2 linked regions of the Neurospora crassa OR74A genome follow. The protein of the gene in region 1 purifies or fractionates together with the protein of each later gene. This does not show direct contact. Links are inferred from orthologs where the notes say so. Each region holds a gene or a part of one and is shown on either strand. Other genes may lie near its edges.

Region 1 (4,535 bases):
GCGCCGCGGCGTCGTCGCCTAACCTTGCAGATCTCCGTTCAGTTCTCTCCAGTATCTTCGCCGCATACGCATACGAAGAATCCATCCTTAGCCTCTCAAACCGGCTTTTGGAACGCAGTCTTTTTGTGAGTGTAAGCCAAGCCGTCCAACTCCGCCAGCGAGGTTGGCGTCCTAAAGGCTCCACCTGCGAGGCCTGCGGCCGGCGAGTTTGGGGTCCTGGTGTGGCGGGTAATGTCTACGAAGCGTGGGAAGATCGCCAGGCTGCTGAGGAGAGTCAACGCCAGGCGAGGAAGCAACTCACCATGAGCAAAAACAAGGCGGCGAGTGCTACTACTGAACGGGGGAAGGGCAAGGATCATGCGTGGCCGGCAACGGACGGGCCCCAGGGTGGGGAGAAGTATAATGGAAATGCAAATGGAGATGGAAAGGGGAAGGGCAAGGGAAAGGCTGTGAGCCCGCAATTGAAGCAGCAAGGGGAGTCAATGAACGACCCGAACCAGCAAGCAAACACTTCTGGACATGAAGGCGTGCAAGGGCCAATAGTGGCAAACCGGGAACAGAAGCTTAGCCCTCTGGTTGTGCTGGCCTGCAGACACATCTACCATCAAGCATGCCTGGACGCTCTTGAGATGAAACATGGGGGCGCGGTTTCCAAAGGAGCTAGTTTTGGAACGAAGAGAGAGTATAGCTGCCCCATTGACAGGTAGGACTGATGAGAGGATTATGGATTGTCTAGAAGAAATTACACTTTGTACGTAGAAGCTTTACGGTGAATGAACTACTTGGAGACAGTTGAAGCTCTGGGATCTAGCCGTGATTAAAGTCAAAACTGGCAATACAGGCAATGGTTGGCGTGTATCTTTCATAAGCTGAAAGCATTGAAAATCCATTTCTCCGGAACGCCTCCGCGCCATATCGTGCGACCATAACATACACCTGCCTGATAATTAGCGACGTAGAAAATATCATGCCCATCTTATATGACCACCACACTCCACCCCACACAAACTCCATGAATGTGTGAGCACTTTAGGCATCAACCATTGTGGCCTGACTTGGAATCCGATGTTTTGTAGCCTCCCGCCATTTCCATAGCGCGGCGTGGGAGGGTTTTCCACTTCATGCCTCGACAACTTTCTTTTTCTGCAATTGACAAAGTGAAATCCTACTTGCAGCGCTTCTCGACAATGCCCGCGCCGTTCTCATCATATTCCTTTCGCGAAATCCACATTTGGTGGAAGGTTCCGAGACTGGCGAGAATGCTTCCTCCGATCCAAGCACCGAAGCGTCTCTCGGTCGTCAAACCCGCCGCATGGATCTTGATCTTCACACCGGGGTACATTTGCGCGAGCTCGTGGTTGAGACGGTCGTTGAAACCGTTCAACAAGCTTGTACTACCCGTGACAACAACGTTGCCGAGGATGTTGGGGCGGAGATCAACATCAACACCCTCGAGGGCCGCCTTGATGAGAGCCGGGATCGTCTGAGCCTTAGTAACACGTCCTTCCTCGTCAGTGCTGTTATAGGCAGCCGTCTCGTCCCACATGCCCTCCGACACCTTGAAGCGCTGCTCACGCCACATCTGATTGCTGCCGTCGGGCATCTCGAAGACCCGGCCGGGTTGTGTACGGACAGCATCTTCGTTTCCGGGGGTCGTGAACCGCTGGGGACCACGCCACACCTCGACAACAGACTCCTTGAACTCGGTGAGAACACGCTCTTCCTCGTAAGCGCGGAAGGACGGGTGGATGTCGAAGTTAAACTTTCGCAGGTTGGCTTCGGCAGGCGCACCGGCCTCCACGGGCTTCTTACTCTCGACCATGAACCGCGGCACAACGTCGACCTTGGGCTCACTACCGTCCCACATCTTGCAGATCTGGCTGCTCAGCCAAACACCGCCCACCGGAGACCTTTGAATCGATCGCTTGAGGACCATGCCGTCGTGGATGGCCGTGACACTCGTGTTGGCACCGCCCACGTCTATTACCAGAGCCGTGGCCTTTCCGGCCGCAAATGCTGCGAGCACAGGTGTCTTGCTAAGCCAGAATGCGGGCACGCCCCAAGTCTCCATGCTGATTTCGATGGCCTTCTCGCGCGCCTTGGGCGAGTTCCACGGCGCTTCGGTCATAAGAAGAGGGTTCTCGGCCAGTGGCTTCTCCAGCGCGTCCGTAGCATCCTCGTTGTTGTTTCCATCGTCTTCCATGGGCACATCGCCATCGTCACTAATGTTGATACCCTTTTTGCTGGGAGGTGTTGATCGCTCGGGCTGCAAACGCTTGACGAGAACATGTTCCCACATCCTGGTGGCAGCATCCCAATCTTCGACAACGCTGTCGCGGTTCATGTAGTTGCGCACTTCGAAGCCCGGTTTTGGCACGATATACTCGTCGCCGAATACGTCACGCCCATTGATGTGGCCGTAAAAAGAAGGGAGAACTTGCTTGGGCATTTCCTCGCCAGCATAGCCGGCGCGAGTGTTGCAGTAGCCCGGATCGAGAACAAGCGCGGATACCTCATCTAAGGAAATAATCAGCCGTCAATTGCAAGCCTTGAAGCTTGGGCAATGTCGCTGGTCAGAGGCGTTTGGACTAGGCTTACCTCCGCCATAGATGTCAGTCGGCTGGACCGACGACGAGAGAGGTTGTTGGTGGGACATGTTAGGCACCGACGCTGTATAATGGAAAATCGCTGAGGTGTATTATCGGAGGGCAAGAAGTGGTGTGAGCGGGGATCTCCAAACAGCGCTGCGCGTCTAATAGCTCGGTCCCGTCGCGTTCCGTTGAAGTTCGATGAACTGGAAATCAAATGGAATTTGACAACGGAGCTTCAAAGACGAGGGGCGCGCGCGCGTGAATACCAGTAAAAGGCCGGACAGGCTCTCCTCCAGCTACATAAAAGTGGGGCGCGGTACGTACCTCTACGGTAATAGGGCATCAGGGACAGAAAATGGAAATAGCAATCCAACGAACCTGTCAAGAGCTCTGTTAACTTGTTGATAGGTCTTTTAAGCTTGAAGAGAAGTAAGACGCACATGAGCAGTTAGCTTTGGTTAAACTCCTCAAAGATTGTCGCTGGCCTGTCGTTGCTGATCCAGAGCCCACGAACTCGCTAGAAGTCCTAGAAGTCAAAGTTACGACATCCATGGGAAGTAGAACTCTCAGCTGTATACGATACCGACAACGGATTCACCCAGAGCATTATGCCACCCCCAAAAAGAACAAATGGGTATCATATTTCACAATGGACAAAACAACAATACAGCAGAGATCAGGTGTCTATCCTGTCTCAGGACCTTCATAACCTGTGTTAACTCCATCGACCAACTCTCGAGCCATCCAGTCCATTCCCAGGACTATGCAACATCCCCTTTCCTTCATAGTCCTCCTCATCCTCCTCACTCTCCACCCCTTTCTCCCTCCCCTCTCCATACAAAACCTCACAAACTCCCGCCAGTGGCACATCCATCACCGCATCCGTCCCTTCATTCCAGACCTCCCTCCAATTCAATCCTCCCCCAGGTAAGAGCACCTCCCTATCCGTCGACCCATGCCTCCCATGTCCATAGCCATGCCCATACTGTCTCTTCTCCTCCTTGATGCCACATTTCTTATCATGCCTAATGATTTGGCCCTTCCCATCCACCACCGCCACCTGCGCCGCCTCATCCACAATCGTCTCAATCGATCCCAACGGCAGTGTGAGGTACTCGGTATTGTAAGCCGCCAGCGCCACGTAGATGTACACCAGCGTCATTGTCAGGAAACTCGGAATGGCCAGCGACCACCACCGGTTGGGGTAGTAGTAGATGCCCAACGCATGCAGGAACGGTGAAGGCAGGTAGGCCCACAGTAGGTAGATCAAAAACGACAGGCTGCTGAAGAGGTAGAGGACGAAGCCGTAGTACTCGTACGTGGGTACGCGGGGGCTGGCGCGCGGGAGGGGCTCGTTGCTGCCCTCTGGACCCCCACCGCCGCCGTTGGCTACTGTCTCGTCGTCGGAGGCGTCCGGGGTAGTGGGACGCGAGGGGCGCAGCAGGGAGGTTAAAGAGGGGGAGGGTGGGAGAGGGGTCGGTGGGCGACCGTAGAAGGGAGGGGCGAAGGTATGTTGCGAGACGGGCGGTGGGGGCGCGAGGTGCTCGTCGTCGCCGTCGTCGTCCGAGATGTCATCCTCGTCGTAAGAATCCTCGTCTCCGGATATCGAGCCATCATCGTGGTTGTCTTCTTCTGAAGGGTGGGACAGCATCGTGCCATCCTCCTCTTCTTCCTCCGATATTATGGGCATTCTCGTGACATTCGTTTGCTGGGTTATGATTCAGAGCGGAGGCTCTGTGAATTGTTCAAGACCTGGCGCAACGATAACTGGAGATGTGATGTATGGTGTTGGATGTGGTCATCACCTTGGAGTTCAGGTGTGGTGGTTGTAGGTAGGTTGCAAGGAAGTATGGTGAACGCGCCGGTGCTCGGAAGTTGCCCCTGATGGAACAGTTCGTTCACAGCAGAAGCTAACTGTAGGTGCCCTGGACAACAGCGCGGATA
Region 2 (4,288 bases), on another chromosome or scaffold:
TCCCTGCCATCAACAAGTGCACAACACGTGAAAGCAAGGACTACAGGTACCCCAACCCTGGCAAGTCGGTCGACACCTTTGCTTCAGACTTTGAGGGTGGACTTTCTCCTGAGTGCAATGCTGTTTCTGGCGGCGGTTCCGGTGGTGGTTCCGGTGGTGGTTCCGGCGGTGGCTCCAACGGTGGTTCCAACGGTGGCTCTGGATCGTCTCCTTCACCATCCACCACTGCTCCGGCTGCTCCTCCCACTAATGCTCCTGGTGGAGGTGGAGGTGGAGGTGGAATCTTCATCACAGCCCCGGTTCCTGATGCTCCCACCACTTCTGCTCCTGCTCCTCCTGCTCAAACCGGCGGCGGCTCTTCCGGTGGTGGGTCTGGCTCTGGGTCTGGCTCTGGTTCTGGTTCTGGCTCTGGCTCTGGCTCTGGCTCTGGCTCTGGCTCTGGCTCTGGTGGCTCCGGCTCCGGTGGCTCGGGCAGCTCCGGTGCTGGATCTGCTTGCAGCACTGATGGCATGTGGAACTGCGTTGATGGAAAGTCATACCAGCAGTGCGCTGCCGGCGTCTGGACGCCCGTCATGCCACTTGCTGCTGGCACCGTTTGCGATGTCGGCCAATCTACTTCTCTCAACATCAAGGCTGCTGGCAAGAAGATGAGGCGCCTTGCCGTTCGTTTCAGGGGTTAAAGCGTCAAACTCCAACACTCATTCAAACATAAACAACACTTTCTTTCTCTTCGTTCATTACACACATCTTTGGGATCTTTTTTGGGGGCTCTTGCATTGGATAAAGCAACACATTAGCAATACCCGGCGGCGCATTTTGTTTAAAAGCCTTTCTTTTCTTGACACAAACAGCTTGTAGTATTACCATGTACATTCTCTATAACACTAGAATAAACAGAATTTGGACATACCCATAATATTCACCCTGAGCTTTATGTGACCACATATGTAGATCTGAAGAAAAAGAAATCAAGTTCGTGTGGGAACAATAATGTGATAGGTCTTGAACACTTGAACCGGACTTCCAGCAAACGCAAAGGGTCAATAACTCATGAGCGTGCTATAGGATCTCCAAAGCTACTAAATGAAGAGTGCAACGCGTCCCATGTGTCGTTGTTATGTCTCCTTTTTGCTCGAACATCGCGCAGATGGTGGCCCTGAAAAAGCGTCGATCGTAAACGGCAGTGGATCAGTCTTGGCATTTCGTGTAAGTGATAAGATAAGCTCACTCGATAAGATCAGATCGACAGCACATCAGCCGCTTATACAAGGAACCGGCTTGCCTGCCGAGAGCTCAAGTTTCACGGGTGACCAATCAGAAAGTTGTAAACTTCGGAACAATATTCAAACGGATGCCTAGCGCCGTTGGATTTGGCGACCGGACGCCCCAGCTTCGCGTTCCCTGGGATTTTTCGATTTGCGACCGCGCCGCTCTGCCGCCCCAGGTTGCACTTTCCACTGGAGGAGCAACTGTCGCAACCTTCTGACAGCGGCGCATTTTTCCGCTTGAGATGCAATTCACTTGATACCCCATCAACTACTTTTTGTTTTATTCCAAACTCTCACTGCCATTTTGCGCTACCTACGATAACTATTCATTTGCCATACCCACATCCTCCGCACTTGGATGATAATAACGACGATTTCCTTCTGCTATGGCGTCATAAGTGAGTCTTGATTTCAGTTACTTCTCTCGAGCGACGAGGCCATGTTTCCACTCGCTCCATCTCCAGCCTGATGGATCGAGCCTTCCCCCATACCGACCGCATCGTTACCCCTCTACCTACCTACCTACCTACCTAGAGGTACCGACATCTACCGGGACCCTCGATCATCAATAGTAGCTTCATGCCGGTGTTTACTGCCCGACCTTACGGAACCTGCATCTATCTCCTGCCTGCCTTTCAACAGCTCATCTGCACCTGCTGGTGGCCCGTTCCGTACAGGTACCTACCTGGCCTTTGTATGCCTGAGTGGATCGAGCATACCCCCTTCCCGTCTTTTGCGACAGTCTGCCGCCGACACACCATGATGCTTGGTTATACCTCCCGCCCGTCCCGTCACCTCAGCCTTGTCGACCCGGTCTGACATGCGACCTGGCGCTCATCGTAACTAACTTGCATAGGCTGAACATAGCTATCCTTTCTCCCCTTCCTCCATGCCAATAGAGCTTTACCGACAGCTTTTCTACTACTGCCCGAGGTGAACGTCGCCAGCCATGGCGAACCTAATTGACGATGTCATCAGGAAGCTGTGCACTCCAGAAATTGGTACGTTTACTTACCCTTCCCATCCTTCTGATGCTTCGTGGGTCGGTGCTGACACCGAGTGCCTCCTTACAGAGCTTCGGCTTAAGGTCGAAGCTGCGATCAACTTGCGCGACAGCCTCGACCACTATGTGACCGGTCCAGCATACTCTCCGTTCCTCAAGCGCGTGATACCTCCCTTCATCATGATTTTGCGACAACCACCAGTGTTTCAGAGCAAGACGATGGACCAAGTCAACATGCAGAAGCTGCGAAATTGCATCCTCGAGATTCTTCATCGCCTCCCTACCTCGAACACGTCGCCCGAGCCCTTCGAACCCTTCGCCGAAGAAGTTGTAGACCTGCTCATGGGTCTTGTGCGAGAAGACAATGAAGACAACGCGGTTCTCTGCGTCAAGATCATATCCGAAATCATGCGCCACCAACACAAAGTCTTGGGTTCCAAAGTCCAGCCCTTCCTGAACCTGATACAGGAGCTATTCGAACAGATGGCATTGGTGGTAAAGGAACAGCTTGACGATACATCCACGTCGGTGGTCGGCCCCCCAGGCGCCCCTTCAACCCCCGGTAGCACCCAAACGAGCTTCATGCCACACCAACAATCCCCGAGACCAGGCTCTCCTGTCGCCCCTGGCGCCGCCGACTTCAGCGCAGATGCTGGACAACAATCTGGTCGGCCCTTGCTGAAGGGCATGCAATCCTTCAGGGTGCTGTCCGAGTGTCCCATTATTGTTGTGTCTATCTTCCAGGTCTATCGCAACAGTGTGACAGCCAATGTCAAACTTTTCGTTCCCCTCATCAAGTCGGTACTGCTTTGCCAGGCAAAAGCGCAGGAAAAAGCTCACCAAGACGCTGCAGCTAGAGGGACCATCCATACCGGCGTCAGCCCCAATATCAAGAATCGGGTGGCATATGGGGAGTTCATTACCGCCCAGGTGAAGACCATGAGTTTCTTGGCTTACCTTCTAAGATCATACTCCAATCAGTTGTCGGATTTTCTCATGGTGTTGCCAGAGATCATAGTGAGGCTTTTGAAGGACTGTCCGCGAGAGAAGTCAGGCGCGCGGAAGGAGCTGCTCGTCGCTATTCGCCACATTATCAACTTTAACTTCCGGAAAATCTTCTTGCCCAAGATCGACGAGCTGCTGGATGAGCGCACTCTGATAGGCGACGGTTTGACAGTATACGAGACCATGAGACCGTTGGCGTACAGCATGTTGGCCGACCTTATTCACCACGTAAGGGACAGTCTTACTCCTGATCAGATTCGCAAGACAGTCGAGGTGTATACGCGAAACCTACAAGACAACTTCCCCGGCACCAGTTTTCAAACCATGAGCGCAAAACTTCTACTCAATATGGCGGAATGTATTGCCCGCTTGCCGAACAAGGTCGATGCACGGCATTATCTAATGATGATTCTCAATGCCATTGCCGACAAGTTTGCTGCCATGAACAAGCAGTACGCAAATGCGGTCAAACTTTCAAAGCTGTACGCCCAGCAAGCTGCCGACAACACGCCCGAGACGTATTTGGCTGACAAGGAGCACCCCCCGCAGTGGGACGAAATTGACATCTTCTCCGCAATGCCCATCAAAACCTCTAACCCTCGGGACCGTGCTGCCGATCCGGTCGTTGACAACAAGTTTCTGTTCAAGAACCTCATGACCGGCTTGAAGAACACTTTCTATCAGTTGAAGAGCTGCAATCCGACTACCGTGCCAGATCTGGCCAATGCACCCGCACACTGGGTTGATGTTGCTTACGGCTTCACTGCTGAGGAGGTTGAGGTTATCGTCAAGCTTTTCCGTGAGGGTTGCTACGTGTTCCGGTATTACGATAGCGAAAAGCCTGCAGCCGAGTCACCCTTTACTTCCACAGTCGAATACATGGCAAACTTCTTCATGGTTTCCCTCACAAAGGAGGAAAAAGATCTCCTTGAGACCTTCGCTACGGTTTTCCATGTTGTAGACCCTGCGACCTTTCACGAGGTCTTTCAGCAAGAGATCCCACGATTGTACG

The links.
Region 2: the proteins of arp-4 (region 1) and stk-18 purify together in Saccharomyces cerevisiae (affinity purification with mass spectrometry; 4 studies listed by BioGRID, with this or other methods). This does not show direct contact. The link is inferred for Neurospora crassa OR74A from reciprocal best matches to the Saccharomyces cerevisiae genes ARP4 and TRA1.

What each region holds. Positions count from the first base shown.
Region 1 is NC_026501.1:2,713,507-2,718,041, forward strand, and holds the start of arp-4 (actin), read right to left. Parts: upstream 2,826-4,535; 5' UTR 2,657-2,825; coding exon 2,599-2,656; intron 2,518-2,598; coding exon 1,166-2,517; 3' UTR 708-1,165; coding exon of another isoform or gene 1-707. Other genes in the region: NCU02554 (golgi complex component), read left to right, coding at 1-707; NCU16367 (hypothetical protein), read right to left, coding at 3,307-4,281. UniProt on the Saccharomyces cerevisiae protein: Chromatin interaction component of the NuA4 histone acetyltransferase complex which is involved in transcriptional activation of selected genes principally by acetylation of nucleosomal histone H4 and H2A. The NuA4 complex is also involved in DNA repair.
Region 2 is NC_026505.1:3,832,750-3,837,037, reverse strand, and holds the start of stk-18 (histone acetylase complex subunit Paf400), read left to right. Parts: upstream 1-1,423; 5' UTR 1,424-1,666; intron 1,667-2,124; 5' UTR 2,125-2,217; coding exon 2,218-2,269; intron 2,270-2,341; coding exon 2,342-4,288. Other genes in the region: NCU01380 (hypothetical protein), read left to right, coding at 1-680. UniProt on the Saccharomyces cerevisiae protein: Essential scaffold subunit of the transcription coactivator SAGA complex. SAGA acts as a general cofactor required for essentially all RNA polymerase II transcription.